Macaca mulatta: one gene and its partners. The protein of the gene in region 1 binds, or shares a complex with, the protein of each later gene. Links are inferred from orthologs where the notes say so. Each region holds a gene or a part of one and is shown on either strand. Other genes may lie near its edges.

Evidence for each region. The genes of interacting proteins can lie anywhere in the genome.
Region 2: the proteins of LCK (region 1) and CD8A are in contact, whole or in part, in an NMR structure (PDB 1Q69), measured with the Homo sapiens proteins. The link is inferred for Macaca mulatta from reciprocal best matches to the Homo sapiens genes LCK and CD8A. Residues at the interface, in NP_001036236.1 of Homo sapiens: Cys20, Asn22, Cys23, Tyr25, Pro26, Ile27, Val28; in NP_001139345.1 of Homo sapiens: Arg212, Arg213, Val214, Cys215, Lys216, Cys217.
Region 3: the proteins of LCK (region 1) and CD4 are in contact, whole or in part, in an NMR structure (PDB 1Q68), measured with the Homo sapiens proteins. The link is inferred for Macaca mulatta from reciprocal best matches to the Homo sapiens genes LCK and CD4. Residues at the interface, in NP_001036236.1 of Homo sapiens: Glu15, Ile17, Val19, Cys20, Asn22, Cys23, Tyr25, Pro26, Ile27, Val28; in NP_000607.1 of Homo sapiens: Ala429, Arg431, Ile435, Leu438, Leu439, Lys443, Thr444, Cys445, Gln446, Cys447.

What each region holds. Positions count from the first base shown.
Region 1 is NC_133406.1:208,598,109-208,601,901, forward strand, and holds part of LCK (tyrosine-protein kinase Lck), read right to left. Parts: intron 3,467-3,793; coding exon 3,390-3,466; intron 3,299-3,389; coding exon 3,145-3,298; intron 3,061-3,144; coding exon 2,929-3,060; intron 1-2,928. UniProt on the Homo sapiens protein: Non-receptor tyrosine-protein kinase that plays an essential role in the selection and maturation of developing T-cells in the thymus and in the function of mature T-cells. Plays a key role in T-cell antigen receptor (TCR)-linked signal transduction pathways.
Region 2 is NC_133418.1:26,243,690-26,247,482, reverse strand, and holds part of CD8A (T-cell surface glycoprotein CD8 alpha chain), read right to left. Parts: intron 1,573-3,793; 5' UTR 1,480-1,572; coding exon 1,308-1,479; intron 1,220-1,307; coding exon 866-1,219; intron 288-865; coding exon 177-287; intron 1-176. UniProt on the Homo sapiens protein: Integral membrane glycoprotein that plays an essential role in the immune response and serves multiple functions in responses against both external and internal offenses. In T-cells, functions primarily as a coreceptor for MHC class I molecule:peptide complex.
Region 3 is NC_133416.1:7,776,585-7,780,377, reverse strand, and holds part of CD4 (T-cell surface glycoprotein CD4), read right to left. Parts: intron 1,087-3,793; coding exon 928-1,086; exon of another isoform or gene 766-927; intron 471-765; coding exon 237-470; intron 1-236. UniProt on the Homo sapiens protein: Integral membrane glycoprotein that plays an essential role in the immune response and serves multiple functions in responses against both external and internal offenses.

The sequences.
Region 1 (3,793 bases):
AGATGGGGTTTCACTATGTTGGTCAGGCTGGTCTCCAACTCCTGACCACGTGATCTGCCCATCTCAGCCTCCCAAAGTGCAAGGATGGCAAGCGTGAGCCACCATGCCCGACCGGGACTCTCACATTTTAAAATTAGGGCATAGGAGGACATAGGCCACAGAACTAAACAGCCATGGCCAGAGTTAGGGGATGCAAGCCCACAGGTTAAATCCAGCCAGAGTATGGCCCACAGATCCACTTTGGATTGGCCCTAGAATGGTTTTGTTTATTTATTCATTTAATTAATTTATTTAATTTATTTATATTTATTTTTGGGATGGACTCTCACTCTGTCGCGCAGGCTGGAGTGCAATGGCATGATCATGGCTCACTGCAACCTCTGCCTCCAGGGTTCAAGTGATTCTCCTGTCTCAGCCTCCTTAGTGGCTGGGACTGCAGGTCCCACCACTACGCCTGGCTAATATTTTTGTATTTTTAGCAGAGGTGGGGTTTCACCATGTTGGCCAGGCTGGTCTCGAACTCCTGACCTTGTGATCTGCCCACCTCAGCTTCCCAAAGTGCTGGGATTACAGGCATGAGTCACCGTGCCCAGCCCCTAGAGTGCTTTTAAACAATTTGACTCGATCGCCAATAAATGGAAATGAACAAATTTTCCTAAAACTCCAAGTTTTGGCTTCTCTTAAAAAAAAAAAAAGATCTAGTTTTTCAGGTCCCCCACGCCTTAATTGCAACCATCTGCTGGAGCAGCTGCAAGTTTACCAAGGTCCCCATTTCTCCCCATTGTCTCCCTGACCCTAATGCTACATGTCAGTTTCCATTTATCATCATGCTTTCACTGCCTATTTTCTTCTAATAGATACATTCCCTATGGGTTTCCTTCTGTGGGAATAGGCGAGGAGCAGTGAGGACCCCTGGCAGGATAACTGGAGAGTATTTCCATATTTCCAGCTCCAGCACTACCCCTGGACTCTGGGTTGGGGCAAGCCCAGGGCAGGGAAGCCCCTCAGCTTTTCACCTGTCTCCAAGGTGTTTTTTTGTTTTTGTTTTTGTTTTGAGACGGAGTCTCGCTTTGTCGCCCAGGCTGGAGTGCAGTGGCACGACCTCGGCTCACTGCAACCTCTGCCTCCCAGGTTCAAGCAATTCTCCTGCCTCAGCCGCCTGAGTATCTGGGATTACCGGTACGCACCACCAGGCCTGGCTAATTTTTAATTTTGTTTTTTTTAAGTAGAGATGGGATTTCACCATGTTGGTCAGGCTGGTCTCAAACACCTGACCTTGTGATCCACCAGCCTCGGCCTCCCAAAGTGTTAGGATTACAGGCGTGAGCCACCACATCCGGCCTTCCAAGGTGTCTTTACCTTCCTTGGAGCAAAGGTCTGTTCACCTTACTCTGGGGATGTGGGACGCTTCTACAAATTTAGCCACTGTGCCGCGCCTCCCTACTCCGTTGTCTTTGTGCTCCATTTCCTCTCCCCAGAGTTTCTTAGCAAGTTCCTTTCAAAAAATTCCATCCCTGTCTTGGCTGAATTCAGGGGTAAAGGGCTTTGTCCAGGAGATGGTGAGGGAGTCAGTGTATACTGACAACCTACTATGAGTCAGGCTCTTTCACAAATGGTCTCTCATTTTTCCTTTTTTTTTTTTTTTTTTTTTTTTTGAGACAAGTTCTCTCTCTGTTGCTCAGGCTGGAGTGCAATAGAACGATCATGGCTCACTGCACCCTCAACCTCCTGGGCTCAAGCGATCCTCCCACCTCAGCCTCCCAAAAAGCTGAAACTACAGGTGTGTGCCACCATGCCCAGCTAATTTTTAATTTTTTTTTTGGGGGGGGGGAAGAGATGGAGTCTCTCTTTTTCTTTTTTTGAGGCAGGGTCTTGGTCTGTTGCCCTAGGCTGGAGTGCTATGGCATGATCTTGGCTCACTGCAACCTCTCCCTCCCTGGCTCAGGTAATCCTCCCACCTCAGCCTTCTGAGTAGCTGGGACTACAGGCACATGCCACCAAACCTGGCTAATTTTTGTTTTTGTAGAGATGGGGTTTCGACCTGTTGCCCAGGCTGGTCTCGAACTTCTGGGCTCAAGCCATCCTCCCACCTTGGTCTCCCAAAGTTCTGGGATTATAGGCATGAGCCACTGTACCTGGCCTAGTCTCTTATTTTTAATATCAGGAAACTGAGACTCAGAGAAGTGAAGTGACTAGTTCAAAGTGATGATTGATAATAGCTTAGTATTGACCAAGCACTGTTCTAATCTCATATTAGAAATGAGAACAGATGGGAAAGAAGGAATGATCTGAACAAAGCCAAACAGAAAGTTAGCAACAGTGGCAGATCTGCTAATAAAAGGTAGGCCTCTTGTTTCTGAGCTAGATCCTCTTCTACCATACTAGGCTGCCTGGGCCACAACTAAAGAAAAGAGCTGGGGCCGGGCGCGGTGGCTCATGCCTGTAATCGCAGCACTTTGGGAGGCCGAGGCGGGTGGATCACGAGGTCAGGAGATTGAGACCATCCTGGCTAACATGGTGAAACCCCGTCTCTACTAAAAATACAAAAAACTAGCCGGGCATGGTGGCACGCACCTGTAATCCTAGCTATTTGGGAGGCTGAGGCAGGAGAATTGCTTGAACCCAGGAGGCAGAGGTTGCAGTGATCCGAGATGGCGCCACTGCACTCCAACCTGGGCGACAGAGCTAGACTCCACCTCAAAAAAAGAGAAAAAGAAAAGAGCTGGGGTTATTAAAGAGAGATACAGAGATGGAAGCCAGCTCTGGGAGATGTGGCATCTGCCTTGGGATGTTGGAGTCATACCCCTGAAAGGATAGAGGAGATGCAACTACAAAGTTTCAGATTCTGAGACTGGAAAGAATTGAGTGGGGAGACATGGACTTGCTGCCCTTCCCATCACCCTTTCAGTTCCTGCCCTTGGCTCTAACCTGGGTAAGGGATGCGGCCATGGGTGACAATTTCCGTCAGCAGGATCCCAAAAGACCACACATCCGACTTGATGGTGAATGTCCCATAGTTAATGGCTTCTGGCGCTGTCCACTTAATGGGAAACTTGGCTCCTAAGGAGGAGGCAGAGTGAGGTCACCTGGGTCTGCTTGGCTAGACCCTGCAGGGCCCAGATCACCCTTAAATCTCACACTTACCCTCCCTGGCTGTGTACTCGTTGTCTTCAATGAGGCGTGCTAGGCCAAAGTCTGCAATCTTGCAGCTCAGGGTGTCAGACACCAGAATGTTGGCAGCCCGAAGGTCACGATGAATATAATTCCGCTCTTCAATGAATGCCATGCCTTCTGCAATCTGCAGGACAAACACAGATCAGCAATCCTGAGCCAGATGTCTTCACGCCACTGGCCTGTGCCCTTGCCCAGCCCCTCCCCAGTCTTCTTACTTGGGCTGCCATGTCCAGGAGTTTGTTGATGGTCAACTTGATGCCTGAAGAGGTCTTGAGAAAATCCACTAGACTCCCTGTGGGCAGAAGCAAGAGTTGCTGGCCTAAGTTGCCCCAGGAGGAGGTCCCCAGACCCTTCTCCCAGACCCTTTTCACATGTCTGGAAGTGTGTCTGACATGTGAAAAGGAAGAGTGAAGAGTGAGAATGGAGGAGTGTGTGTTCAGGGTAAGGATGCCCAGGATATGTGAAGGTTTTTTTGCAGAGGGAGGGGCTAGGGTAGAGCACGCTGGGAGGGATCTGTAGGTTTTTCATCATCAATAAGGTAGAATTCAGACTCCTCAACTAGTATCCAAAGCTTGACATGGGCGACACTGGTAGCTTCTTCTCTTTCCCTCACTCTGCC
Region 2 (3,793 bases), on another chromosome or scaffold:
TTAGGAGCGGGCCCGGGACCTCTCAACCGCCCCACCATCCCAGGCACGTCTCTCCACCTCAGGACTCGGTTTCCCACCACTTGGATAGCCCTTGACCTACAGTATCAGGGCTCCCCTTGGCATGGGCTCTCCCCGCGGTCCGTGCCGCCCCCGCCCCGAGCCCCCGCACGCCTCACCTGAGCCCCCCGCCGCTGGCCGGCACGCCTCTGGGCGCAGGGACAGGGGCTGCGACGCGGTGGTGGGCGCCGGTGTGGGGGGTCGCGGCGCTGGCGTAGTGGTGGGCTTCGCTGCAGGGGCAACAGAGCGTGGTTGGGGGCCAGTCTGGGATTATGGACGCGCCCCCGCCCCGGCCCCAGCCTCGCGCGCCTTTGCCCACGGGAACACCTCCCCCCGGTTTTCCTGGGAGAAGGGATGGCAGAGGAGACGGGATGGGTACCCCGGAATGCGCGCGGACCCCTGTGCTCGGGCCTTGGCTTAGCCAAGCGCACGCGGCGCCCGGCCCGAGCGTAGGAGCCCGCTCCCCTGCACCTGTCCTCTCTCCCGGGCAACCAGCAACCCTGGAGCGCGGGTTGATTGCTGTCCGCATTTTACCCACGAACAAACGGAGGCGTAGAGAATTTAAGTCATTTGCCCAAAACCACACAAGCATCCGAACTCGAGCCCAGATCGGCCGGACGTAAAACACTATTCCTAGTCCCTACTCAGCCGCACGTTAGCCTCAGTTTGCTGTGTCTGTGAAATGGGAACAATATCTAAGTCTCTTCCAGGTGCCCTAAGAGGCTTGAAAGCAGGACCTGTGTGTGGAAAACAGGTTGAGGTGAACCCCAAGCCCCACGCGGAGAGGTGCCGCACCCCGCGCCCGGACCTGGCAGGAAGACCGGCACGAAGTGGCTGAAGTACATGATGGAGTTGCTCAGGGCCGAGCAGAAATAGTAGCCCTCGTTCTCTTGGCGGAAGTCACGTAGGGTGAGGACGAAGGTGTCCCCCAACCTCTTGCCCGAGAACCGCTGGGTGTCCAGCCCCTCCGCCGCCTTGGGCTTGTTTTGGGAGAGGTATAGGAGGAAGGTGGGGCGGGCGGCGGTGCCGCGCGGCTGGAAGAGCCACGAGCAGCCCGACGTCGGGTTGGACAGCAGCACCTGGCACTTCAGCTCCACCGTCTCTCCCAGGTTCCAGGTCCGACCCAGCGGCGACACTCGGAACTGGTTTGGCCTGGCGGCGTCTGCAGGCAGCAGGAAGCGAGGCTGAGCCCCGAGTCCCGCGCCCCCCGCCCGCCCCATCCCCTGCCTTTCCGGGGGTCGCAAACTCACGGAGCAGCAAGACCAGCGGCAGGAGCAAGGCGGTCACGGGTGGGGCCATGACGCGCTCCCCAGGACGCGGCTCGGCTCGAAGCTCGGGCGCCACGGGAGGCGCGCGGGAGCCGGTGGGGAGCGGAGGGGGGGAAGTTGCGCCCTTCGGCCGGCCTGGAGCCTGATTTCGCATTTGGAGGATGTGATGTCACCCGAAGCCCCCGCCGAGGAAAGTCACCCTCCTTTTCGCGGTTGTCGCCTTCCAGCCCGGTGAGGAGGCTGGGGCCTGTGAATGGGCCCGTCGAGGCAGCCTGGTCAGGCAACTGGGGGCAGCTGAAAACTGCAGGTTCGGGGATGAGGAAAAGGGCTTGGAAATAGTCCCTGGAAATGGTTGTGTTAGGAGAGTGACAGAGTGGGTGAAGGGAGATCAAAGATTTCAAGAAGTGAGGGCGAGAGTCGGCAGGAAAGGAGGGGAGTGTCCCTTCCTTTGCCTTCACTAAAGGCGTCTCTTATACTGTCACCCTTTTTGTTGGCAAAATGGGCACTGAGGGCTGAAAAGGAAGAGGAGCTAGCCACCTGCCCGCTTCTCAGGAACTCGCGCAGAGCAGCCCCAGTGTTCACCGAGGAAGGGCCCTCTCCCTTCCCCCAGGAAATTTCCATGAGGGCGGCAGCAGCCGAAGCTTTGGGTGGCAGTGTCAGTGCGCTGCTGACCTCATCCTTCCGGCCTTTCATCCAGCGGCTAAACTCACCAAACAGTCGCATCTCTTCTTGGAGTCTTTGCAACAGCCCCCACACTAGTCTCTCTCCTGACCAGTCCTCCAGCCACGTTGTTATAAAAATTATTATTCTCATAAAGGGGATCTAACAGCGTCACTCCTGCAGCCTCCCATGGCCTGCATTGCTGGATGGAAACTCAACCCTCAGCTTGGTTGACCAGCCCTTGGGTGCTGGCTCCTCCCAGCCTCCGCACAGCCCCCTGCCCTGCCTTTCCCAAACACCTGCAGCTGCAGCTGCAGCTTCACAGGCTTGAGGTTATTCAACCCCTGCGCTCTGTGCTTTCACGCCCTTGCACTTGCTGTAGATCTGCCTGGAATGCTGGTCTGTGAAAGCCCTGGAGGCAGCTCCTGTGCAGTCTCATTTGGACCTCATTTCTTTCACCCCCAGCTCTGGGCGCTCGGCGGGGAGGTGTGGGTGACGTGGGTGAATGCTTGGGTAGAGGCAGTTTTCTCTCTTCTGTCCCTAGCACACATGTGTCCCCTTCCTTTCTGTTTCTTTCTTTCTTTCTTTCTTTTTTTAAAGACTGGAGTCTCGCTGTTTTACTCAGGCTGGCCTTGGGACTCCTGGGCTCCAGTGATCCTCCTGCCCCAGCCTCCTGAGTAGCTGCGACTACAGGCTCATCCTTCCTTTTTGCCTGTTTCTGTCCTGAAACCTTCTAACCCCAGTGGCATGCCCTCTTCCCATTTCTTCCGGGCTTCTGAATCTTTCCACTTTGAATCCCACTGTGGCTGCACCTCACATTACTACTGCTTGATCCTAGAGACAAGACACCTGGCATTCTGTGTTCCAAATGTCTGTCTGCCCCACCTATGAGTTCTGCTGGGTGAGGACCATGCCCCAGACTTCATGATGTGTCCTCCATCCCCAGAAACACAGCATGGGCTGAGCTGTGCTTGTTGAACTACACTCTCCTTATCCTTGTGAGGCCCAAACTTAAGTGTTGGATGGTTTTCTGTTGTTGTTGTTGTTGCTGTTGGTTGGTTGTTTTTTTGAGATGGAGTCTGGCTTTGTTGCCCAGGCTGGAGTGCAGTGGCACGATCTCGGCTCACTGCAGCCTCTACCTCCCAGGCTCGAGTGATCCTTCCACCTCAGCCTCCCAAGTAGCTGGGACCACAGGAGCGCACCGCCATGCCGGGCTGAGTTTTTGCATTTTTGGTAGAGATGGGGTTTCACCATGTTGCCCAGGCTGGTCTCCAATACCTGAGGTCAAGTACTCTGCCCCGCCTTGGCCTCCAAAGTGTTGAGATTACAGGTGTGAGCCACCATATCGGGGCCTGGATGGGCTTTTTTTTCTTTTTTTAATTATTTGGATTTCAGTACCTCCTTCCAGCTCCCTCAAAGCATCCAAGATGCTTATTCTAACATGGAACATGTAACGTTTTATATTCTGAAATTTAAAAAAATGTCTTTTAAGTGACAACAGCGCAATATATTATTGTACAAAAACAAACACAAAGTCCCCTGTCTCAACTCCCATCACTGTCATCTGCTCCCCACAGAAAACCACTGTTACGGTTGAATGTGTCCCTCAGATATTATCTGTACCTAAACAGATGTTTATACATCATCTTAGACACGTGGGATTGTATAAGATATGTATTTTTGCAAGATATCTTGTTTCACAGTGGAAGGAGAGCTTTCAGCAGATGTAGATCCACCTCATTCTTATAAATGGGGGCATTTTATGTGGGTGTTCCATAATGTAATTCTGCTGTTAGTGGACATTTAGG
Region 3 (3,793 bases), on another chromosome or scaffold:
CTTCCCCAGCCCTTCCTTTCTCCATGTCCACCACACTGAGGGGTGGCTGTCAATCAGCCCCCTGATAATGAGGGTCCCAGTGAGTCCTTCAAGAATGGCCTCAGCTCTAGGGGACCTAGCCTTCTCCACTCCTGACCTCCCAGCACCAGACCCAGAAGCAGGGAAGTGAGAGCAGAGGGAGGGGCTGTCAGCCTCCGGGGCAGGGAGGAGACTGCGGGCAGAGGGGCTTCCCTTACCTAGCACCACGATGTCTATTTTGAACTCCACCGTCTTCTGGTCCTGCGAGACGGTGCATGTCCAGGTGCCACTATCCTGGCGCTCCAGCTGAGGCACAGAGAGGGTCCTCCCCCCCTGTATGTTTTTACCCCCTGGACTCCTACATTTCACTGAGGGGCTACTACCAGGGGGGCTCTCCAAGGTCAGGGTCAGGCTTTGCCCCTCAAGCAGGTGGGTGTCAGAGTTGGCAGTCACTGTGGAGGGAAAGGCCAGCTGTGTCACACACATACCATCCCCAAGGAGAAGGGCAGAGGACAGGAAACCAAGAACATCTCTCCATTATCTCCATCCCAACATCTCCTTCCTCCCAGCACCCAGCTGCCCACCCCCAGCCAAGACAGGGTTTCCCTCTCCCCTCCTCTCTCTCTTCTTTCCTCCTCTCCCCTCATCCTCTCTTCCCCAGTCTCTCTCTCTCCTTCCCTTGCTTCCTTCCCTTTTCTTTCCTTTTCCCAAGGCCTCTTCCCTCCTCCGCCCACCACCATCCTCCACCTAATCAAAAGGGCTTTGAAGAGTTCGGAGGCCAGTTTGACAGCCTGGTCCTCTTGGGGCTGCTGCGGTATCACCAGCTCAGGCTGGATTTGGTGCAGGGGTGGGAGTAGTGGGGAAGAGAACCAGCCAGGAGGTATCCTCGTCCCCACCTGCCCCACTCACATCCGAACACCAGCAATTCCACCTCCTCCTTCTTGTTCTCCACTTCACAGATGTAAGTATCTGAGTCTTCTATCTTAAGATTCTTGATGATCATGGAAAAGCATCCTTGGTCCCAAAGGCTTTTTCTTGAGTCAGCACGATCGCTCAGCTTGGATGGACCTGGGAGCAGAAGACAAATGGGAGAGGCTGAGGTGCCTTGGAGACATGGCACCTCTGGCAAGAGAATGCCCACAGCTCTTCTGATCTCAATTGCTAATTTCCTGCAACATCTGCTCCTCATTCTAATCAGAGAAACCCAGTCTGGTAAGGAGGTCTCATCATATCCATTTACCTGGCTGGGACAGTGGCTCACAAATACAAATAAAATCATATCCTTATTTGGAGAGCACCAACTCCTACATGCCAAATACTTTACATGCATCATCTCAGTAATCTCCACAATAATTCCAAGAAATAGATATTGTCAACACTGTTTTGCTTATTTTATAGATAGAGAAACTGAGACTCACACACTGAGATTAAGTAATTACCCAACTCTCACACATTGTAGGAGAAGAAACCAGTACAATTTCTTTGGAGGGTGATTTGTACTATATATCAGAATTACAAATGTATATACAAAGCGAAATGTCCATCAATAAAGAATAGGTTAAATAGCTCATAGCTCACCCATTCAGTGGATTGCTATGTAGCCGGAAGAGAGGAAGAGGAAGTGCTTTGTATACTGATTTGGAACCGTATCTAAGAAACATCACTAACTGAATAAAGCAAGGTATTAAACAGTCTACTATTTGTTTTTAAAGGGAGAGAAAATATATTCTTTGTATATGAAAAGAATATTTCTCGAATTAAACATAACAAAATGAGGCCATTAAAAAGAGTTATAACGTCTAAAAAAAAATTAAAAAAGAAAGAAACTGAGGCCAGGCATGGTGGAAATCTCTCATCCCAGCTCTTTGAAAGATCGAGGTGGAAGGATTGTTTGAGCCCAGGAGTTCGAGATCCGCCTGGGCAACATGGCGAAACCCCATCTCTAAAAAAAAAAATTTTTTTTAATTAGCCGCCTTAGGAGGCTGAGGTGGGAGGATCGCTTGAGCCCAGAAGTCAAAGGTTGCTGTGAAACAAATGAGATGGCACCAATGCACTCCAGTCTGGGTGACAGAACGAGACTAAGAAAAATTAACTGGGTGTGGTGGTGCATACCAGTAGCCCCAGCTACACCGGAGGCTGAGGTGGGAGGATCACCTGACCCGGGAGGTCGAGGCTGCAGTGAGCTATGATCGTGCCACTGCACTCCACCCTGGGCGACAGAATGACACCCTGTTTAAAAAGAAAAAAAAAGAAAAAAAAAAACTGGGAGGCTGAGGCACAAGCATCGCTTGAGACTGGGAGGCAGAGTTTGCAGTGAGATCGAACCAATGCACTCCAGCCTGGGTGACAGAGTGAGACTGTCTCAAAACACACACACACACACACACACACACACACACACACACACACACACACAGATAACCTTGGTTGCCTCTAGGAAGAGGAAGTGAATACTCATGTGTAGGAAGAAAGCTTTTCACTATATGCCCTTTGCTTTTTTTTTTTTTTTTTTTTTGAGATGGAGTTTCGCTCTTGTTGCCCAAGCTGGAGTGCAATGGCACGATCTTGGCTCACTGCAACCTCCGCCTCCCAGGTTCAAGCACTTCTCCTGCTTCTGTCTCCCGAGTAGCTGGGATTACAGGCATGTGCAACCAAGCCCAGCTAATTTTGTATTTTTAGTAGAGACAGAGTTTCTCCTTGTTGGTCAGGCTGGTCTCGAATGCTCAACCTCAGGTGATCCGCTCACCTTGGCCTCCCAAAGTGCTGGGATTAGTGAGCCACCACACCCAGCCTGCTTTCTTTTTGTTTGTTTGTTTGTTTTTATGGAGTTGAGTGTTGGATCTCTGCTCACTGTAACCTCTGCCTCCTGAGTTCAAGGGATTCTCCTGCCTCAACCTTCGGAGTAGCTGGGATTACAGGTGTGCACTACCACATCTGGCTAATTTTTGTATTTTTAGCAGAGACAAGTTTTCCCACATTGCCCAGGCTGGTCTCGAACTCCTGACCTCAAGCAACCCGCCCACCTCAGTCTCCCAAATTGCTGGGATTGCAGGTGTAAGCCCCTGCGCCCAGCGTATATGCCCTTTTCTGCGTTTTGAATTTTGACTCCCCTAAGTGGTGGAGCTAGGATTAAAATGCAGCCTGTCAGGAGTCTGGGACCAACCTGGGCAGCAAATAGACACCCTCATCTCTAAAAACAATTATTTTAAAAGAATTAGCTGGGAGTGGGTGCCTGTAATCCCAGCTACTTGAGAGGCTGAGGCAGGAGGATTGCTTGAGCCCAGGAGTCCAAAGTCACAGTGAGCTATGATTGTGACACTGCACTCCAGCCTGGGCAACAGAGGCCTCATCTTAAAGAAAATAAATTTTTGGCCGGGTGCAGTGGCTCATGCCTGAAATCCCAGCACTTTGGGGGGCCAAGGCAGTGGATCACTTGCGGTGACGAGTTCAAGACCAGCCTGGCCAACATGGTGAAACCCCATCTCTACTAAAACTAGAAAAAAAAAAATTAGCTGGCACATGGTGACGCATGCCTGTAATCCCAGCTACTTGGGAGGCTGAGGCAGGAGAGTTGCTTGAACCCGGGAGGCGGAGATTGCAGTGAGCCGAGATCACGCCACTGCACTCCAGCCTGGGTGACAGAGTGAGACTCTACCTCAGAAAAAAATAAAAATAAAAAATGTTTTTAAAAATAAAAATAATTCAGGCTGTTTCACTATGCAATGCTATCTCTGGAAAGTTCTTCAGGCATAAGTATGTGTCTCCTTTGGCCTCT